Lepisosteus oculatus: one gene and its partner. The protein of the gene in region 1 interacts with the protein of each later gene in a pairwise test. Links are inferred from orthologs where the notes say so. Each region holds a gene or a part of one and is shown on either strand. Other genes may lie near its edges.

Evidence for each region.
Region 2: the proteins of nucleoprotein TPR (region 1) and nup153 interact in a two-hybrid assay, tested with the Homo sapiens proteins (3 studies listed by BioGRID, with this or other methods). The link is inferred for Lepisosteus oculatus from reciprocal best matches to the Homo sapiens genes TPR and NUP153.

Annotation. Positions count from the first base shown.
Region 1 is NC_090704.1:8,457,625-8,467,208, forward strand, and holds the start of nucleoprotein TPR, read left to right. Parts: upstream 1-5,375; 5' UTR 5,376-5,442; coding exon 5,443-5,593; intron 5,594-6,382; coding exon 6,383-6,487; intron 6,488-6,819; coding exon 6,820-6,893; intron 6,894-7,051; coding exon 7,052-7,148; intron 7,149-7,593; coding exon 7,594-7,697; intron 7,698-7,944; coding exon 7,945-8,109; intron 8,110-8,601; coding exon 8,602-8,694; intron 8,695-8,777; coding exon 8,778-8,858; intron 8,859-9,401; coding exon 9,402-9,489; intron 9,490-9,584. Other genes in the region: odr4 (protein odr-4 homolog), read right to left, coding at 356-451, 1,372-1,512, 1,933-1,969, 2,393-2,499, 3,228-3,323, 3,670-3,804, 4,055-4,153.
Region 2 is NC_090705.1:16,832,538-16,842,582, forward strand, and holds the start of nup153 (nuclear pore complex protein Nup153), read right to left. Parts: upstream 4,492-10,045; 5' UTR 4,431-4,491; coding exon 4,353-4,430; intron 1-4,352. Other genes in the region: kinesin-like protein KIF13A, read right to left, coding at 9,031-9,248. UniProt on the Homo sapiens protein: Component of the nuclear pore complex (NPC), a complex required for the trafficking across the nuclear envelope. Functions as a scaffolding element in the nuclear phase of the NPC essential for normal nucleocytoplasmic transport of proteins and mRNAs.

The DNA of each region.
Region 1 (9,584 bases):
TCGTACATTTCTGTATGCTATCTTTACTGTAGCATTGTATTGTTTTTTGTACATGATATGTGTATGTTATTTATGATTTTTTCTCTTCTCTGTATCTGTCTTTTTTTTTGTACCTTAGTTGTATCTTGTATGTTACTTCAAGCACAACACAAAAAATTCGTAACAACCTGAAGGCTTGGTTTGGCAATAAAGTCAACTTTGTGTCGACTTTGTGTAAAGCAATAATAAAATCAAACACAAATCATTAGAATTAACGACAGCACCTCTAGAACATCATAAGCCATTTTGAAAATAAACTAAAAAGGCATGCAATAACAAAGGTTATATGCATCAAAGCAGACATCCAATCACTTACCTGACCCTCTGTGAATTCTTTGTCATTTGGTCTGACATGGCCATTGATTAGAATAACACTGTCTTCTACTAGATTAGCCCATTTCTGAAGCCTATTCTGTAAAGATAAAAACGTGTATTGGAACTTGAACTAGAGGAACCAAGGGTCCCAGAATCTATTTGGCTCAGACATCAGAATGATAAGAGTATGCTCACCTCACAACATCATGTATAGCAAAAGGAGTGTGTTACACACCAACAAATCCAGATATGAATTAATACACTGTGTAATGAAATTAAATGTGTGTACAGTAAGAGGTCGTTATCATGGGAGACTCTAATTTCCTCACAAAGACTGGGAAAACCAGCTTGAATGTCTGCAGGAGAAACTGAAATGGTAGACAAGGTTAATGACTACTTTCTTACCAAATTTTCAGAATAAAGGAATGTCCTAAACTAAAATTACTAAACCTATAAAGTCCTGAACACAGAATACTATAATTGTAAGTAATCTAAGTATTTAAAATTGTCAAATGTTCTGACAAAATAGGAAGTGAAACAAGACCCAGGTGACAAAAGTTGAAACTGTGTGGGAGTGCAACTAAAGCTAGTGACAGATCCCTTTATACCCACAGGGTTGAGGGAGTATTGAAGAAGCTGCCCAGCTATGTATGTGGTGGAAGCTGATACTCAGGCTTTCTTCAAGAAATGGCTGAGCCTCTGTGCAATTAACTACTTGCAAATGGATAGGCTTGAATTGCCACATGGCCTCTTTTCTTTTTTAACCTTTCTCATGATCTTCTTATATTGTTTACCTCTTGTTCTGTTCCTTATTGATTCTGAAGATGATAAAAATAAGTTGTGATGCTTCATTCCGAATAGTAGAAAAAATAAAAACATAGATCAAATTATTTATTTTGCTCTGGTAATCCTACATACAAAAGAGAACTATAAACAAGAAGCCTGTTCTCCCCATTCTTGCAACACCTGCATTCCTTTGGATTTACATATGAGGAAATAAAATAACACAAATATTACCTTCACATATTTGTCCAGATTTTTCACAGAGGACCCTTCTGGCACTGGGATGTGTAGGTCTATCTTAACACTGCACTGTAGGACGGACCATGAGGATGAGAGTCCTGGCTGGTACTTCCAGTCTGCTGGCTTAGCAGAGCTCTTCAGGGCATCATTAAGAAGTGACAAGTAAAGATATAACGACGACAAAGATTCTTAATAAGCATTCATTCTTCAATGGAATAACTGCACAGAAGGTTGTAAAAGCTGTTTTCTTCACTGCTTTTGTATAAAAGGATGCAGAATTAAGCCAGGAGTTAATGGAAAAGGTTAAACATGGTAACATATTTGAGGATAAGAGCTAAGGATAGCATTAAAATCACGTCTAGTGACAGGGTAAATTAGGTTTGGAACTATGGTAGGAACACATTTTACACTCCAATTAACTGATTAGGTTTAGGGTCATCATGAGGTCTAAGGTTAGGTTAGGTCTAGTAGATGTTTTAGGTAGTACTTGTTTTATGTAGGGTATGGTTAAGGTTGCATTTCTCAAAGCAATATTTAAATTCTCTTTAATATCACCTTGGGGTCTTGCACATCGAAAGTCCGACATGTCACTCTTGGTTCACCAAGTCAAGGAAAATTATGAAGCTTTAGGTGACATTAATATCAGGACAAATGTCAGAGCTACTGAAAATAATGTGTCTGCTTCATATAAACATCTGTAATAGATACATTAACCTTACATCATGGTTTTGCAGACAGAAACTTACAACAGAAACACATTAGGAAGTCCCGCACCTCCAAGTACACAAGTGCAAATACGTTAGATGGTTACAAGTAACATAAGTTGACATGGCAAACTACATCATAATCACTGCTTTGTATTTTTTATGATTGCATTAATATTTAAGAATTAGCCTAAAATGTGAGGTCGGATTCAGATTCACCTTCCTACATCAAGGTTTTTGATTAATGATACTGCTCCTATGTACAGGAGAATGTCTGCATTGTCAACCTCACACACTGTTCTAAAGGATACTTCCTCGTCTTCGAGCAGATGTGAAGAGTCACTCTTTCTGAGACATCATCCTCTGATAGCTTCCAAAGCCTTCCCTTCACTACCGACTTCTCCACTCCAAATACCAACTAAGGAAGAAAAAAAAAAGCTCATATGCCTAAATGATTTTCTCACAGGTACAATTGTTAATACACGATTTTCTCCTTTCTGTCCAATTCAGAATGACCTTTTTTTTTTATTGGAGCCACTTCGGATTAATTTGAACTTTTTAGCCATATGTAACCGGTATATGTACTGGTACAATGGAATTCTTACTTACAGAATAGCTCATTGTTTTAGACTTGGCCAGTTTCCCCTCTAATTATGCACACAATGAGCAAAGTGAATTGTCTGAGCAACCGGGAATACTGAACATGATAATCTTGGGGAAACACAAAACTTTTAGAATCACTTGCAACGTTTTCTATTCCATTTGCAATGTAACAACATTTGTTCTTCCACTTTACATACTGTGGCTTGGAACTATTAAATTCAACGAATGAAGTAACGCTTGCTTGGAACATACATCTATCGCGTATTGGGCTTGGAGAACAACGTATTACTTTACTGTCATACATTTAGACCGAATGACCCAACAGCAGAGTATCACTGAATTCTGAAACAGAAACAGAAAAATAATAACTGAAATTAAGATAAATCAATTATGAATCTAAATGTAAAATCGATAGTTTTTCTCTCTCCAAAATGTGTTGTATGAGAAGTGGAGTTAGTCAAGGTTACATACAGTATGGATCTGGGCCATAACGCTCAATGTGTGTTTCAGTCATGGGCCTGACTCAGGGGCTGAGTCACTCACCCTCCGCAGTGTATTCTGCGACTCCTTGGACAGTTCAGGCGAGGCGATCAGAAACACGCCAAGGACCTCCAGCCCCCCAGGCAACATTCGAGAAACCTGTTCAGCACCACGGGACATTAAAACAAAGAGATCAACTGGGGGGGGAGTTCTCAAATTTCCTTAAAAAGATTTTCATAAACAGTATACGTTGACTAAAGGAAACAATTCTATTTTATTAAGCTCCGTATCTGTGTATATTTATTATTCCACTGTTGACCCGTTTTAACATTGACTTTGACATCTGTTGTCATATAGGCAGTAGAAATGCTATTGCTTCTTACAATCATTCGTTGCGCCTTTAACGCCTTTAAGTCTATTTGTTGCAATACCAGATATATACTTCAGTTCCACCTGCTTTCATTATGATGTGAATTTTTCTTGGCAAAGTCATTAAATCACACACCTGCCGAGCATGCCCAATGACCCAGTCTTCATCAATGTCCACTAGTGATACTTTACTCTGTTTGGGCTGGTTAAATTGCTCTTCTCTCTGGGCCGTTTGAACTGCAAGCACTACAAAGTCCCTCTGTGGAGAACACTAAACGCAAAGAAAAATAAAGTATTAGTAAAGCATCAACTAATAGTTTTATTTTGAATGTACTGAGCTTATTGTTTATGGAGTGCACTGTCACACTAAACATATCTAGTTCTCTTTTAAAGATGATAAGTTTACATTACACAAAAATCTCTACATTTATTGGATTTACTTTGGAGATGTCTAATGGTAAAACTATTTTAGTTTTATGCTTCGCTTCTTAAAAAAGCCCACTCATACGAAGGAACCTCACCTGCCCAATTAAGAGACCGGTTGTGAAGGCTTTTTCTGCAGTGACAAGGTTCAGAATGTACTTTTCTACCACGTCCTCCACAAAGTAACTTCTCCCCATCCTGAGAGATTTATCATTACTTGTCTTCTAAGGGGGAAAAGCAAAAATGACATATCAGTAAAATGGTACTTCACTTAGATTGATTCAGCAAACTGTGACACTATTATAAGTCGCTCTGGACAAAAGCGCTAGCTGAAACAGATGGGTATTATGCGAATCCCAAGAAGCACAGTGTATTTACGAACAGACTGCTGAATCCTTACTTATCGATCATGTGCGGGTTACAGCAGCTGATTCAGAGCAGCGCAGGAGTTACACGTCATCTCTTTGGTCAAGTACTTCTTAAAGAATCCGGGACTTTAATCCTTGTAGTATTATACATTTCCCTTCAAATTAAGCTGGATTGTTTAATGCAAAATGTAAATATTATAAGGAATTCTGTACAACAGATCGCAAATATCCTACACACAAAGATCTTATTTTGTGAGAAGGCACACGCTTTATTCTCCAATTTCAACACGCACACACCCAATCATAACATACGGGTGTAAATAAACAGCCCGAATATTGCTTTTCTCAAAACCCGTAACTTAAAATTTAGCTACTTTTAAATTTGAAACGTGTACTGCGATCATTATACTCCTTCTGTAGCTAAAGAGTAAAAATAGAAGGCACTGCAAATCATGCCCATGTAATATGCATACATAAATTTCTAACTTTCCAACATTCAATTGCCTGTCCACGACTGTCTCAACTATATGTTAACATCAGAAACTCATACCTGCACGCTTCACTTCTGCTTGGTAAGACCACCCAAAACAGCTTTTTTTTTTTCCTAGGAATGAACGTCACAAAGCCAGCAACCGCTGGTTGGCCATTTTGCGTTGCTTGATTATGACGTCCTTCTTCGGAGGACTTAACTAAAATGCTACACTCTTATTAAACTATGCGCTAGCTGCACAGGAAAAAAAAGTATAAATATTTAAGATGAATTAAATGAAAATGCTGTGGATAAACGTAAAAAGCCCAAGACGTCTGGAGGTTCATCGTTATGCATGCACATCTTCCTCTAAAAAACACATTTATATATTTTTCTCTTTAAATTGTAACTACTTATGACCTTTAATATGTCGTGAAAAAAGAAACGTATCTTCTGTCAGACATTACAAGGAGAAGAATAATTGCAACTACACTTTTCTTTACCTAGGTGGCGATGCAATTTACTTACGGAAATGACGACAAGCCCCGGCCTACCTAGGACTTTTTATATATATCTATGTGAGAGAGTGGGGAGATAGGCGGTATTTTCCAAGAGCTTTCGCCCGAATTGAGACTTGAGGGGGTTAAAGATGGCGGCGATTCTGCAGCAGATGCTGGAACGGCCTGAGCTGGCCAAGCTCTCCAAAGCCGTCCAAAACAAGCTCGAGAAGTTCTTGTCAGACCAGCAATCTGAAATAGATGCCCTCAAATCCCACCACGAGCGATTTAAAGTAGACAGTGGTAAGATGTTTGGGAAACGTTCATGTTTAATCTTTCGTCATGCCTGCTCTGGAGACGCAGGGAGATCTCGCGTTTCATTCCGATCGCAGACTTTGGATTTTGAGAGCATATGATTATAAGTGCGCAGTTGTGAACATCGCTTTCCTTAATGTTTGAACTGACTTTGGTATAGGGCCCATTTCTCCAGCTGCGTGTTTATTCATATATTTTAATATGGCTGCCGAGAGGAGGCAAACAACAGGCCTTTGGCACCTGGCTTTTCAGACCTCAAAAAAGGATGTTGTCTGATTCCTTTTGGAAGGTTGAGTTTTCCATTTCTGTCTTTTTTTTGTTGATTTACAAACTGTGAATTTGGAGGAAATCCCCCATCTGTAGTATTTGATCTTCATACTTTGAATATTGAATTACGAGTTTGTTACGTCTGTAAACTGCAATGTTAACCCCATCTGAGCAACTGATCTTGAACGTGAATTTGTCCCGTTTCAGGCTGTAGTGGTTAATTTGTAATTTAAAGAATGGGGACGATTATCTACCTGGTATAAATCATTGATTTGTCAGACTTTTTATGCAAATATAAATAACCTATGTTTAACGACATACCTGTACCCTAAACTTTTGCAAAACTGTTTGTCAGGTTAAGTTACAGGATTGTCTTGTAATATAAGCAGTTATTGAATGATTTTGCACAGATTTAGGAGTTAAACAGTGCTTAATCATTCATTAATATTAAAAGCTTTTCTTACAGCAGTGCAACCAAGATTGATGCAGGCTATTCTCTAATCTTTACAGAGCAGCAGTACTTTGAAGTGGAGAAGCGACTGGCTCAGAGCCAGGAGAAACTCGTATCAGAGACTCAGGAACGCCAAAATCTCCAGGAGGAGTTCACCAAGCTCAGTAAGTACACGGATTGCAATCACTTTATAGTAAATGTGACAGTACTATAGTTTTCACCCAGATACGAATGTAGTCCATGCCTTTGAGCATGCTGTTGTAAATGGTAGGCTACTGTCAAAAATGTTTGGAAGCTAACTCTAAGGATCTTTGTTCATGCTTGTTCCTGCACAGGGTGTATAGTTTGTGATTCAGGCCATGTGGTAAATTATCTTTTTGAAGAATCCTCTTTTTTTTTGGATGAATCTTTGGCTACTGCTCGAAGCTTGCCATGTAAAGACTCATTCACATTACAAGTAGGGCTCTAAACTAATTTTTCTGCGTTCAATTTCTAGGTGCAGAGCTGAAGACCCTGCAAGAGCAAAAGAGAGAATATGAGTCCTCAGAAGAGAGATTTTCTGCACAGCAGGTGAACATCAAAATACATTTTGGATACAGACATTTTAGTTACTTGTTCTGAAATGCCTTTTCTTTGGATTTTGTATGTCATTTCATCTGAAACTTAAAAGGGGCACATTTTGCTTGTGAGCAGGCATCACAGAACCACCGTCTTCTGTTTAATTTCAGGCTCACCTCACCAAAGTCAAAGATGAACTGGAGGCTGAAAAACGAGAGTTGGTCCGAACACTGGAGAAAAGGTCCCAGGAAGTGGAGCATCTAAGTGGTATGAAAATCTGGGTTGTGCCACAAAGCCTCTGACCTTGAAGGAATCTTTTAAGACAGCCTAATTTGCATAGCTGCTGTCGTTATGATGAATTGTGTTATACAGTTTAGATGGGGTTTTTCTTGACACTGTTGCTTGAAATCTTAAGACTCAGAAGTCTAGTTTTTGTTTGGCAACTTGTATTAAGGGAATCTGGTTGTCTTGGAGTTTCAGAATAAAGGTGAGTTGTTTTGAGAGTAAAAGGCCACAAGAGGGGCTGAGTGAGATGTACTGGAGTCTTTTCACGTTGTGAAATTTTAAATATTTGTGCTCCTCAGCAAAGCTCTCAAAAAAAGGGCAGTGCAACATATTCTACAAATTGGAGTCCTTCGGTGTTAAGTTCAGATCTACCGTCGTTTTTCTTTTTATGCAACAGATACTTAAAAATGTCATCTTTCTTTAACAGAGGACCTTAAACGTCTCAATGACAAGCTTGTGGAGACGAATACTGCAAAGATGGAGTTCCAGTTAAAGCTTGATGAGCTTCAGTCTTCGGAGGTTTCAATCAAGGTGAGGTTAATACAGCTTTAGGAGTCTGTCAGTGAAACTTGTAACATTGAGATTAAACCAAAAGTTGAAGTGGTTGCCTGGAAACTGTAAATTTGGAAAACTGTATTTATCTGCCAGAGGCTGTTGTGAATCTGTGGAGTCACAACCACTAAGAAAACTGCATCTTTGGAATATTACAGGTTGGTCATGTTCTAAATAGAATCTAAGTAGGACAACAACACAAAGTTGTTTTCTGTTTTTGTTTTAGTACCGGGAAAAGAGGATGGAGCAGGAGAAAGAGCTCCTACAGAGTCAGAACTCTTGGCTGAACACAGAGCTGAAGGCCAAGACTGACGAGCTGCTCTCTGTCTCCCGAGAGAAAGGCAATGAAGTTCTGGAGCTCAAATGCAACCTGGAGAATAAAAAGGAGGAGGTTTGTTTTATATGCTTTATTAGGCAGATTATATGTTGTGGTCTGGTCCTGCAAGGGTTAAGAAACAATACTCTTGCACTTCAGGTTTCTGTTATAAACACCTGAAACTGTAAACACATATTTAAACAAAAATAATACTTGATTTGGTCCAGCTTTGGCTGGTGTGAAAAATCCACTCTTTTGATTAGGTGCAGCTACTTCTCAAGTGCATTCTTCATTCATTGAGAAGGTTTATAGTTATGCATCCCAAAATTGTGTTAATACTATACTAAAGTGCAGTTTGGCCTTCTACAAAGTAATGCCTTTGCTTAGAGCGATATAAGTACAACTCACCCATTTGGCTTGGTTCTGTTATTCCTCAGCCTAGGAGTAATTTTAGTTAAGCATGTCAGTTGTTATTAATCTGGTTTTAAGTTAATACTGATGTTGCCCTGCGTGTCCTAAAACCGAGATGCAGGCTGCTGGTCTCTTAATTACTTTATTGCTTTTCAGGTTACAAGACTTCAAGAACAAGTGAACAGTCTGAAATCGTCAAATGAAAACTTTCAAAAGCAAGCAGAGGACTTGATGATGAAATTGAAAGAGGTCATTTTTTCTTTGTGGTATGAATTTCACTATTTGAGCTGGAGACCTAACACCGACCAGTGTAACACTGTCTTCTTCTATAGGCAAAGGAGCAGCAGGCCAGCATGGAGGAGAAGTTTGGCCATGAACTGAATGCGCACATAAAGCTGTCCAATTTGTACAAGGCAGGTCCACTTATTTAAGTTTTTACATTTCTTAACAGGATCTATTAAAATGAAATTGTTCAAACGCTTGGTCTCCAGTCTCCCCAGCTGAAGCTGGTCCTGGGATGTGTTGCCATAAAGCACAGTATGCTCAGAAAAACTCCAAAGTTAATGAAAGGAGTGGGGGGAGATTAATAAAAAAGTGAATCTTGTCCAAAAGTGAATGTTGCATTAACTATGGACTGTACCCTCCTGCTTTGGAAAATAAAAAAAACGTTTGTGGGGCATTAACTGATCATAGCTCAACTTTGTTTAATGATCAATGTGGAATTTCATTTTAGATGAACTGTATACATATGACAGGAAAAATGCTGAAAATTGTTTAGATTTTGTCATGTTAATTGGCTGAATTGATTCAGGCCCTTAACCTATTTATGTACTTTTTTTTTCTCAAGCTTACAAAGCTTAACATGATTCTAGTAGAGTGTAAGTGTAAAACGGTCTTAAGTCATTAAAAAATGGATGTTTTGAGAAGTTGTTTCAGTTTTATTGCTTTGTGTGTAGAGTGCAGCAGCAGATTCAGACTCTAAAAGTGAGGAGCTCAACAAGGCTGTGGAGGAACTTCACAAGTTACTGAAGGAAGTGGGAGAAGGTGAGTAATTGCTCTTTACGGGAGTCTTTGCCTTATTTGTAACGTTAAATGAAACCGAAGACGTTTTCTGGGGGCATCCTGCTGTCACACCAGAG
Region 2 (10,045 bases), on another chromosome or scaffold:
AACGTTTTTAAGAAAAAAGGAATATCGGCAAAAAACAGTGGTTCGTTCTAAACTTTTCTAGCAAAACCCCTTTGCTAGTGTTTTTGCTGCAGAAGCATCTAAAGATACATCTGGATTTCAGTTTAGTGCTGAGGAAAAATATTTGAATTCTGAATTAACATTTTGACTAACAAAAAATGATACATTTGATAACCCTGCCTAAGATGTTTGTATACAGGAGCAGGACAGAAGCTGTGGCGTGAGAAAATACAAACACCCCCACAGTCACGCATCTACAAAGAAGTATTGATGCCTGCTTTTTAAGAAAGATTGAATATTCAAATAAAAACCGCTGGTCACATTGTCACAGACTGCTAGCACTGCCTTAGCTATGTCTTAATGGCAGCTGTACTAAAATGTATGTTTTCATGAGCCTGTAAAGGCTTTCACTAAAGCAACTGCATGACCTTAGTTTTAAAAAATTTCATTGAAGAAACTGTTCCAACCCAGTAAATTCAAGCACGTTGGGGCACAAGAGGGCACTGTCAAAACGCCAAGGGTTCAGCTAGAAAAGAGTCTGAACAAACTTCCAAACAAACATGCAGTTAGGAATCTGGGTCAGCTGTGCGTTTCAGACCTGAGTCTGCCTGCTCTCAGGACCTAGGGGAAAGACAATGCATCACACCCACAATCTCAGAGAGGTTTTTAAATCCCCTCAATTAAAATAACCACTAATTTGAACCAAAAATTCACCCCACAAACTGAACAGGAATGAAAGCTTCTACAGCATATTCCCAAATCCCAACCGTACTAGCTGAAATCAGCTCAGTAACCCTTTCGGCCGATAAAATAGCAGTACACCACAACAAAGGGACACTTTGAAAATGATAGCTTCCTTCAACGAAAAAGTTTATATACGCTCCATGTTATGAATGGAAATAATAACCAGAAAAAATAAGAACTAGGGTTTTGTCCAAAATGTGCATTGGCAGCCCTTCCATAATGCTGCCAAATTAACTCTTGTGAATTTAACTCAAGACAAATGTTTGGGAGGTAATGCCAGAGAATGAAAAAAGCTTATAATCATGTTGGCATCTCAATAAAGAGACTCTGAGCTATTTTACAATTTCTAAAAAGGCAACAACACTTAAAAGACATGTTTTTAAAAGAAAACTTTGGATTTGATCAATAACCGACACTGGTAAACAATGAATTATTGTTCTTCAGCTGTAAATCTTTTATTTATACTTCATTAAGAAATACATAATCAAAACTAGTTTTACCTTAATTTTTGGTTCACAACTGAATGATAGAAAAAAAAATGTTTCGTTTGGGTACCATGAATAATGACGCTCATTTAAAAAAAAATATCCCTCCTTCATGATAACAGAACTGTACTAATGCCAGACAGCGTGACAACTTGACCTGTAAGAAAGTACATTCCTGACTCAGCTGGTTCTGAGCTATGTATTAAGTGCAAGTGCAATGAGTAGATTATTAAAACTGTGTGGCCCTGATGCAGATATCTTAATGAATGCAAGCACAAAAGCTGTCAGATGATGCAGATGCTGATATGAACCTCTGGAAAGCTCATTACATACTCAAAACCTGGGTTGAGACAAAAAGTTGGAATAAAACAACCTGTACGTGTACCTTACACTTACACTAAAAAATGAATCCTGACATATCCACACTCTTATCACAACTTTAACCTTAACTATCACCAATTCTTTGACGATAACCCTATACCACATTTCTAACCTGAAATTCAAGAGTACATATTGAGCTGTCCAAATTCGGTTACTCAGCCCTCTGCTTGATAAAAAAGAATAATTAGGAGTAAATGATAAGAGCCGATTTGGGATGCGTTTTCAAAGAGATGTTAATTTGGTGAAGGGGACAATTTATAACTTAAATTTACAAATAGCTGCCTGATATTTCAGTTGTCTGGCACCTTTAAAAAAATACAGAACTTCTAAGACAACACAACAGAGGAAAACAAAATTCAGATGCATATGGATTTGTTGCCCTCTTCAAAATGTTCTCTAGTTAAATGATCACATTTGGAGAATCTGTGCAGGAGTGTCTAGTTACTACAGAACTCATAGCAACACAGAGTATTCGGACTGCATTGCACAGGGACACCTCACTTCCCAGCCTTTCTGGCAGGTTCATCCTGATGTGACTATTAGTTTTCCTGAATGATGGGTATGTGGCATTTAAGCCATGTATAAATGATGGGAGTCCCAAAAAACTATGCAACCCGATTCAAAGCTTCCATTGCAGATGGAAGGGGCGATGCAGATGCAGATACAGATACAGATGCAAAATGCAGGGGCGGAGCGGTGGCTCTGTGGCTAAGGATCTGCGCCTGTGACTGGAAGGTTGCCGGTTCAAATCCCCGCGGCCGGCAGAGGAATGGGCCCCTACTTCGTTGGGCCCCTGAGCAAGGCCCTTAACCCCTAACTGCTCCAGGGGCGCCGTACAATGGCAGCTTCTCTCCCTGTCTGTGTTTCCATGGAGAAAAGCCGGGGTATGCGAAAAGGCGAATTCCTAATGCAATAAATTGTATAGGGCTAATAAAGAAACATTAAAAACACTAAAAAAAGATGTACTGCCTCATAGGCTGGCCACACCAGTTTAAATTAGAACGTGCCCTCTGTGTGGTATATGTCTTCTCCCTGATTCTATACGAGTCTTCTCCATGTGCTCCAGTTTCCTCGAAGACACGCTGGTCAGGATAACTGACTCTCTCATTGTCCCTATGTCCGTCTTTCCTGCAACATACCATCCAGAGCGAGTCTCACCTTGTGACCCTCGCTAGGAACAAACAGCTTTCTGATACTAGATGAACTGATAGTTCAGTTTTCTTTCACTACACATTTTCCTTCCCCGTATTTTGGACAACTTTCGGCACAGTGAAAGCGCTTCGAAAGACCAGGACAGACAAGAAGAAAAAATATCCTGCAACTTAAGGCGCATTTAAAAAAAAAATTAAACCTCATTCCTAAGACAGAAGCATTCAGGAGATGAACTGGCATATTATGTAACAGGCCCAGTCTTGCATAATTTAACTTTTCATGAACTTGGCCTATTTAAACCAATTTTTGTACCTGCATCATGAGTGATGTTCTTAGATCTGTCATAATATGCCATCATGACAGATCTAAGATAAAAAAACAGCACAAAAAATCCCCAAACAGTAGCAAATCTGTTAACCAGCTGTATTTTTAAATGATTGGGTTAGCTACTACAGTTCTCCTTGGTGAAATCCTAAATTGCGTGATAAAGTTTGAAACAAAGGTTGCGAGTTAACAGCAAGATGCTTCAGTGTGACTAAAAACTCACAGCTCAAGCCTGTGGAATGACTTCATCTAATACAAACCTACACTCGGGTTCTTCTTGACAGAATCCACATGTCCAGAATTTGGAGTGATTTAAATGGAATTGAAAAAAGTTAAATATAACAACATTGTTATACTCGAATGGTTTTAAAAGGTGGGGGGGGCGTTCTTTTTCAAGCTTTTTGGGTGCCCGGACATGATATTTAAAGAGAGACGAAACTTAGAATAAAATACAGCACCCCACGAATAAACCACTTTTAATTGGGTTGGTTAGCGCATACTCCTCAATAACGGAGATTACACTTTAAACCTCACATTGGGAAGTGCAAAGGTTTAGGAATACAATATACTTATCCCGCTGGCGTTCGAACATCGAATGCCGCAAAATTTCGGCGATCTGCCCGCTTACGACGTGATCGCAATCACTGCACTGCGAGATCCGGAGCCACATGCTCGGAGCACAGGAGCGCACCGATCACCCTGACTCGCCGTCTAAAAGGACGGAACTCGGCGGTCTCAAGGATTAATTCCGCGAAGCGAAATTATCGGGGCTTTCCCCTGTTTCCACCTGGCGAGTGTGTGCACGCCACTCCGGCAAGAGTTACAGTCTTAAAGCAACATGCGGGGCCTGGACTCGCTCCAGGGTGGACGCACGTTACATTTTTAGCGCCCGAAAAAAAAAGTAAATAAACAAAAAAAAATCAGCGAAGAGAATACCAGTAAAATCGCAAAATGATGCAAAGTTTAAGTACCGCTTAATGACAATCCGATAATGCACCCCGACTGCCTCTTCACGCCACCGCTACTCGCAGTGTGCTCCCGGGCTGCCTTATTTCCCCGACCTCCCCGATGTGTTCAGCCTGCCTGCGCGCCCAGTAGGCCGCAGACACCAGGTACCAGAGAGCGCAGGCCTCCGAGGATGGGGCAGACCAGGCCGCAAGACGCCGTTACAAACACACAACACCTGACTACCACCAGCGAGCAAGACACCGCCGTTTTCTTTTAGCCACAAAGCAGAGTTCAATTTACCTGTTTGCCTTTGGCGTAAGGTTTCGAAGCGATGTGGTACCTCCTAGTTCTGATTTTCCCTCCTCCTGCAGCCGCCATGGTTTACTCACAACAGCTCACCGCTCGGTATCGGATACTCTTCTCCCGTCAGCCTCCGAGAAGCCTGGCCCGCCGCTATACCGACATGCATCGCGGGCGAGGCGTATGCCAAGGGTTTGTGGGACCTGAAGTTCTGTTTTCTGGTACGCCTCGTGGAAGAGTTAACTTAATTTTTTTTAAATAAAAAAGCTGAATGCGTCGGATAAAATCATACATTCGTCAAGATGTATTTTTTATTAATCACATTTAACTTACGTACACACGGAATATTACCATTTATAGACACGTCTTTGAAACGTACAAAAAGGAATTTGGGTACACCGACCTGTTCAGATCTTTCTATCTTGACGACGTTTGAGCACATAGGTTTTACTGCTAGAATTTTACGAGTGACACAATTTGTTACCTGTACTTTAAATTGAGTTGATTGAGTGAAGGTTTTTGCTATTCTGAGAACCTCAATTCAATTCCCATGTTCCAGGCTAGAAACACTAATTTTGTCAGTGCTCACCTCTAAATGATTTTTTTAGCATGCTGACAAAAGGTTTAAACTATTCCATGTAAAAGCAATCTAATTTATAACTTAAACGTTACTTACACTTGATTTAACCTTTGCAATCTCAATGCTATGCCCAAGCATTCTTTTGTCCTTTTTTTATTACTTCCTCATACTATGTAGTTGATGACGGTGAGAATTCAGTGTACTTTGCCTGAATAAAGAATAAAATCTCCGGAGGAATTGTGACATCACCCAAGCACAGTCAACACACCAGAGGTAAAAAATCAGCATATATTTTATTTTAACTCCCCTGGGGAGCTGGAGTACAACTTGTACTCTCTGACTCTGTAAATACAGTACAAGAACCCTGAATAGCTCCTGAATGCCTTCCATGCAGGTGCTGGCCATTCTCAGATACCTTCCAAGCTGGCCTTGCCTGCAAGTTGCTCTTAAACCAGGCAAGAAAGCAACCCAGTTGCAGTCTCCCACATCTACTCTTGCCCCCTAAACTGGGGCAGGTAAACTCCACTGGGTGTGTGATAGCCAGAAATATGGCAACTGAAATTACCGCTTTGAATTACTGTGAAGGGCATTCGTCTTGATTTTCAAATGTGATAGTGTAGGACGCTTTCCGCAAGAAATGCAGTGGATGGAATTGCAGGACAGGCACAATGCCCTCTGGGTGATCTGGAGTGGATATGAATTTACTGGCAATACAGTGTCTTCTGGTCCATCACAAAGTGTCTAGCACGGATTGTGAAGAGATCTGTGGATTAGAGTGATCTTTCCCGAACAAAGTTTCCTTCCATTTACACTGGCCAACCATTTCAGGGAACATACCAGTACAGTCAGGATTGAGGTCCTTCCCAGTCCTGTAATATATACACACACTATTGTGTCTGCCACAGTCATGGCCACAAAGACCTCTGTTTCTGTCCTTTGGCAGGAATTTAAAAGCCCCAATGCCAGAAAAACATCAAGTGAAATTTAATATAATTTTGTGCAGAAGAGTCCACATAGGAAGATGGCACAAATACATATGAGGCAGTAATAGTGAGATCTAGGAAGTTACAGTCTGCATGAAAGGATCTATGTTTTTATACAGTATGTAAATATCCTTTTTAATGTCCTTGTAGTACTTTAGAGCGATTTTACATTCAAAGGTAATGAAGTCATCCTCTGGAACAGCCTCTATGCCAGTGAGCCTTGTTACTTGAACCGAGTGAGAAAACAGTCCTAAAAACCTTTGGTTTCAGCTAGAGTTACAGATCACGGATCTGAATCCGTGATGTAAAGAGTTCAGGGTTATATTGGCAAGACTGCAGACTGGTGTTGTACACAGAGCTTCAGAGAAAGCACACACAATTATACAGTAAATGACATATCTGTCAGTGAAGATATTCAGCCTTTAGGAAGTGGCCATAAGCCATTTAAGCATACTGTATGTTTTCTTACAAACCTTTTCATGAACTGCCTTTTTGGGAGATGCTCTTCAGACGGCCTTTAACGGAAGAGCTAAGTAATAAGTAATAAAAACCTATAGACATCCAGAATAATCTGAAAAGCCGATTCACACAGCCATTACTGAACTGTCACTCTGATTCACAAGAAGAAGTACACTAAGAAAGACACTACTGATCGATGTGTTTGAGGAGTTTGGTAATGACTGATTTTTTCTTTCAAATATTTCTTACAGTATAACAATATAATATGTGTCAGACTGCAGGATTCTCAATACAATTGTCCAGACAGAAGGGGGGTAATTGTATTTTATGCATGAGCCTTTAGTGGGTGAAACTTAAAAAAAATGTTTTGCTTTCTACTGTACATAAGAAAGGTTACAAAAGAGAGGAAGCCATCTGACCCATCTGATCCATTTGGTAGTTTGTAGTTAATTGATCCAGGGATCTCATACAGCTGTTTCTTAAAAGGAACCAGGGTACCAGCTTCTACAATATGGCTAGTTGGCTTGCTCCGGAATACAACAATTGTAACAGCAGTATTAAGAATATAAGGATGAAGCTTTGTCATACAACCAGAGTTTTAAGTTAAGAATTTTTACAATGCAACTAAATCACCTAAGGCTTTATTCAGAACCCTCCTGGAAATCAACATAGGACTCCAGGTGCAGTCCAACTTGAGAATTGTGCAGTTTCTTGGCTAACTTTCTGGACTTTCATTTAATCCTGAATGGGCAAATTAAAAGTACAGGTTTAGATACTCTGTGGTTCAACACAGTGATGTATCTTCTTTATTCTCAAAAGCACTAAAAGCACTGTGACAGCACTAAATGACTTTACTTGGTAATTAAAAGCATGGTAATTAAAAGCATGGTTTTGAGTCCTAAGATATTGCTTTATATGGTGATACTCTCATAAAGAACCAGTATTATTTTTCACAAAAAATCCCTTTTATCTTATTTTGTGAGGAAGTTGGTGTTGAACAGATAAGCTATTTGTTACATAGCGGTGGCAGGCGATAGATTGAAATATCACAGTTCTTCTGAAAGAAGTCAGCAGCTAGCAGGGAGAGCCCAGTGTTTAACAGGCATTGCTCAAGCCATAGTGCCGATTCTTAGTCATTTTAACAGCTCTTTTTTGCTGTGCTGTAAATTGTACTTCAGTGCATATATTTAAAACAAATGAAAATGTCTCAGGAATAGGTAAACGTTTATTCCACGCTGAAAGGAAAAGAGACAACGTTTCAGATGTGGTCAAAATCCTGAAGAAGGCAACATAGCTGAAACATTGCATCTCTTTTCTTTTCCTTTAAGCATGGAATAAACCTTTACCTGCTCCTTTGCAGTTGACACATCTACCTTTCAGAAATATCTTATGAATGCCAAGATGAACTGGCTTCTGACATAATGACTGCTTAAAATAAGTGATGACCCTTGAGTAATGTACCAGATAGAGAACTTGACAATGCTCATGACTATCTTGGAATGAAGAAAAAAAGACAAGAAAAGTATTTACATTGTAAACATTCTGTATTCTAAAACACTTCTGTACCAATTAAATAGAGTTGGTGAAATACAATATAAATTACAATTCTGTACAGTACAGTGTAGTAAACACTATGTCCAAACAGGGGGCTATTTACACCATCGATTCGGGGAGAGCAGCTTTTTTAAAATAAGGTCCTGGGTTTTTACTTGAAATTACAGTAGACCGTTTGTTTTTGCAGCTCCTCGTGATGAAATCTGTTTAAAAATACTTTTAGCAATACTTTTCAAGCAGAGCACACAAGACCCACTATCATCCAAGTATATAAAACTATGATACATACATTTTTTTTGTTTCCCCATCATTGTCCAACCCTACCATTCCACATAAAAGTTTAAATTAGGAGAGTCTAAGTACCATTACATAATGGAAATTGTACTTGTTCCAAAACACAACAAAACTGAAGCTCTCTTTGTAGCAGTAACACTTTTCTCAGTCCTGTATCTACCTGGCAGACAGACTTGAATGTTAGTGTTTTAAATGCCTTGAGGCACTGGATGATGCATGGTGATTGAGTTTGTACGGATTCCAGTAAAAGCCTAGTCAACACAGTAGCGGCCTTTTGGAAGACAGACGTCATGGAAGAGTGTTTTGTGAAACACAGAGAAGCAAAAGGCATTACAATACCTAGCCATCAAGGGAAATATGGCACAGAGCTTTCCCTTTAAAAAAACAAACAAACTAGGGTATGGACAGCAGATATAATGGGTTCTTTGGCAATTCACAACATTTAAAATCATACAGACAAGGAGTTAGGAAAACAGACAATTTTAACAGTGGTCTAGTTTCTAACAGAAAACCCACATTCTCTCAGGAGGTAAGCTTGTCTGAGTGAATAGGCGTCTCCAATGAAGTAATTCAGAATTAATACAGCATGTCAAAGTTATAAAATGTGGGCTTTAAACTAAGTACATGTGTATCTGTATAATGTGCACCAACTACTAGCTGTTAGCTGGTGTCTAATAAAAGGACAAAGTCACGACCCAGCAGAAACCATTCAGTCACCTTTCCGAATATACACATCAGGTTCCAATATACACAACCAAACACTGTTTCTCTACGCAGCAGGTCGCGTAGCAAGAGCAAAAGCCGAGGATCAGCTGACCCACGAGCGGCGGTGTTCTTGCGTCTTCGGGGGGGTGGCGACGCCTCTCCGTTTCCTGCTGGTGCTGGCGGCCGACTGGGACCTGGGTACGCTGTCCTGCGCTTTGACCTTGTGGGGGGCTGGAGAGAGGCGGGTGGGCTTCACAAACACGCCGTGTCCCGGGAGGCAGCGGAAATACTCCCGCCCATGGACAGTGCCGTCGTGTTTGCCTGTAAACACAACAAATAAAAACATTTACATCCACAGGATAGATATTTCACAACGCAAACTTTCTTTCTCCGCCTCAGTGGCGATGGCTCGTCTCAGAGTAAGAAGAACTTCCTTTTTAATTTAAGAACTTCAGTCCCTCTCTGTCCACAAATATTTAGACCACTTTTAAACATAAGTGATAGTTTTACAACACGTGGTGTGCCAAACAAGACTTTGAAATAAGCATGCAGCTCAAGAGCTACATCAACATAAGAGCTAACATTTTTCTCTACCAGTGAAAACAAGTTATACAAATGACAATTTACGGTCTCCTGCTCATTTACAATAATAAACGTTATAAGCTGATGGGAAGAAGGAACTGTGTCAGCATCGACACCTTAGCATAATACAGCAGATACAAGATCCTTCTGTATCTCAGAATAAATGACCACTGTATACGTTGTAGTACGTCTATGACTGTATGTAAAGTGATGTAAAAAAGAAAGAACACCCCCTTGCGATTCTATGGTTTTATATATTAAGACATATATGCATCTAGTTCTCAACAACTCCTAGCAGTAGATAAATCTCAAATCATGTGAGGGATAACGCACAAAGTTTACTTTGTTGTTTTTTATCAAGCAAATAATCAGTCAATATTCAGAAGCCTTGTGTGAAAACGTAAGTGCACCCTTACTGCTTCCATATGAGTTAAAAAGGCAATTAGAATCAGGTGCTGCAAAATAATCCTTAGAGTGTGTATTTTCTTTTTCATATTACTGTAAATATGAGCACTTCTGTCCTGGTGATACTAATC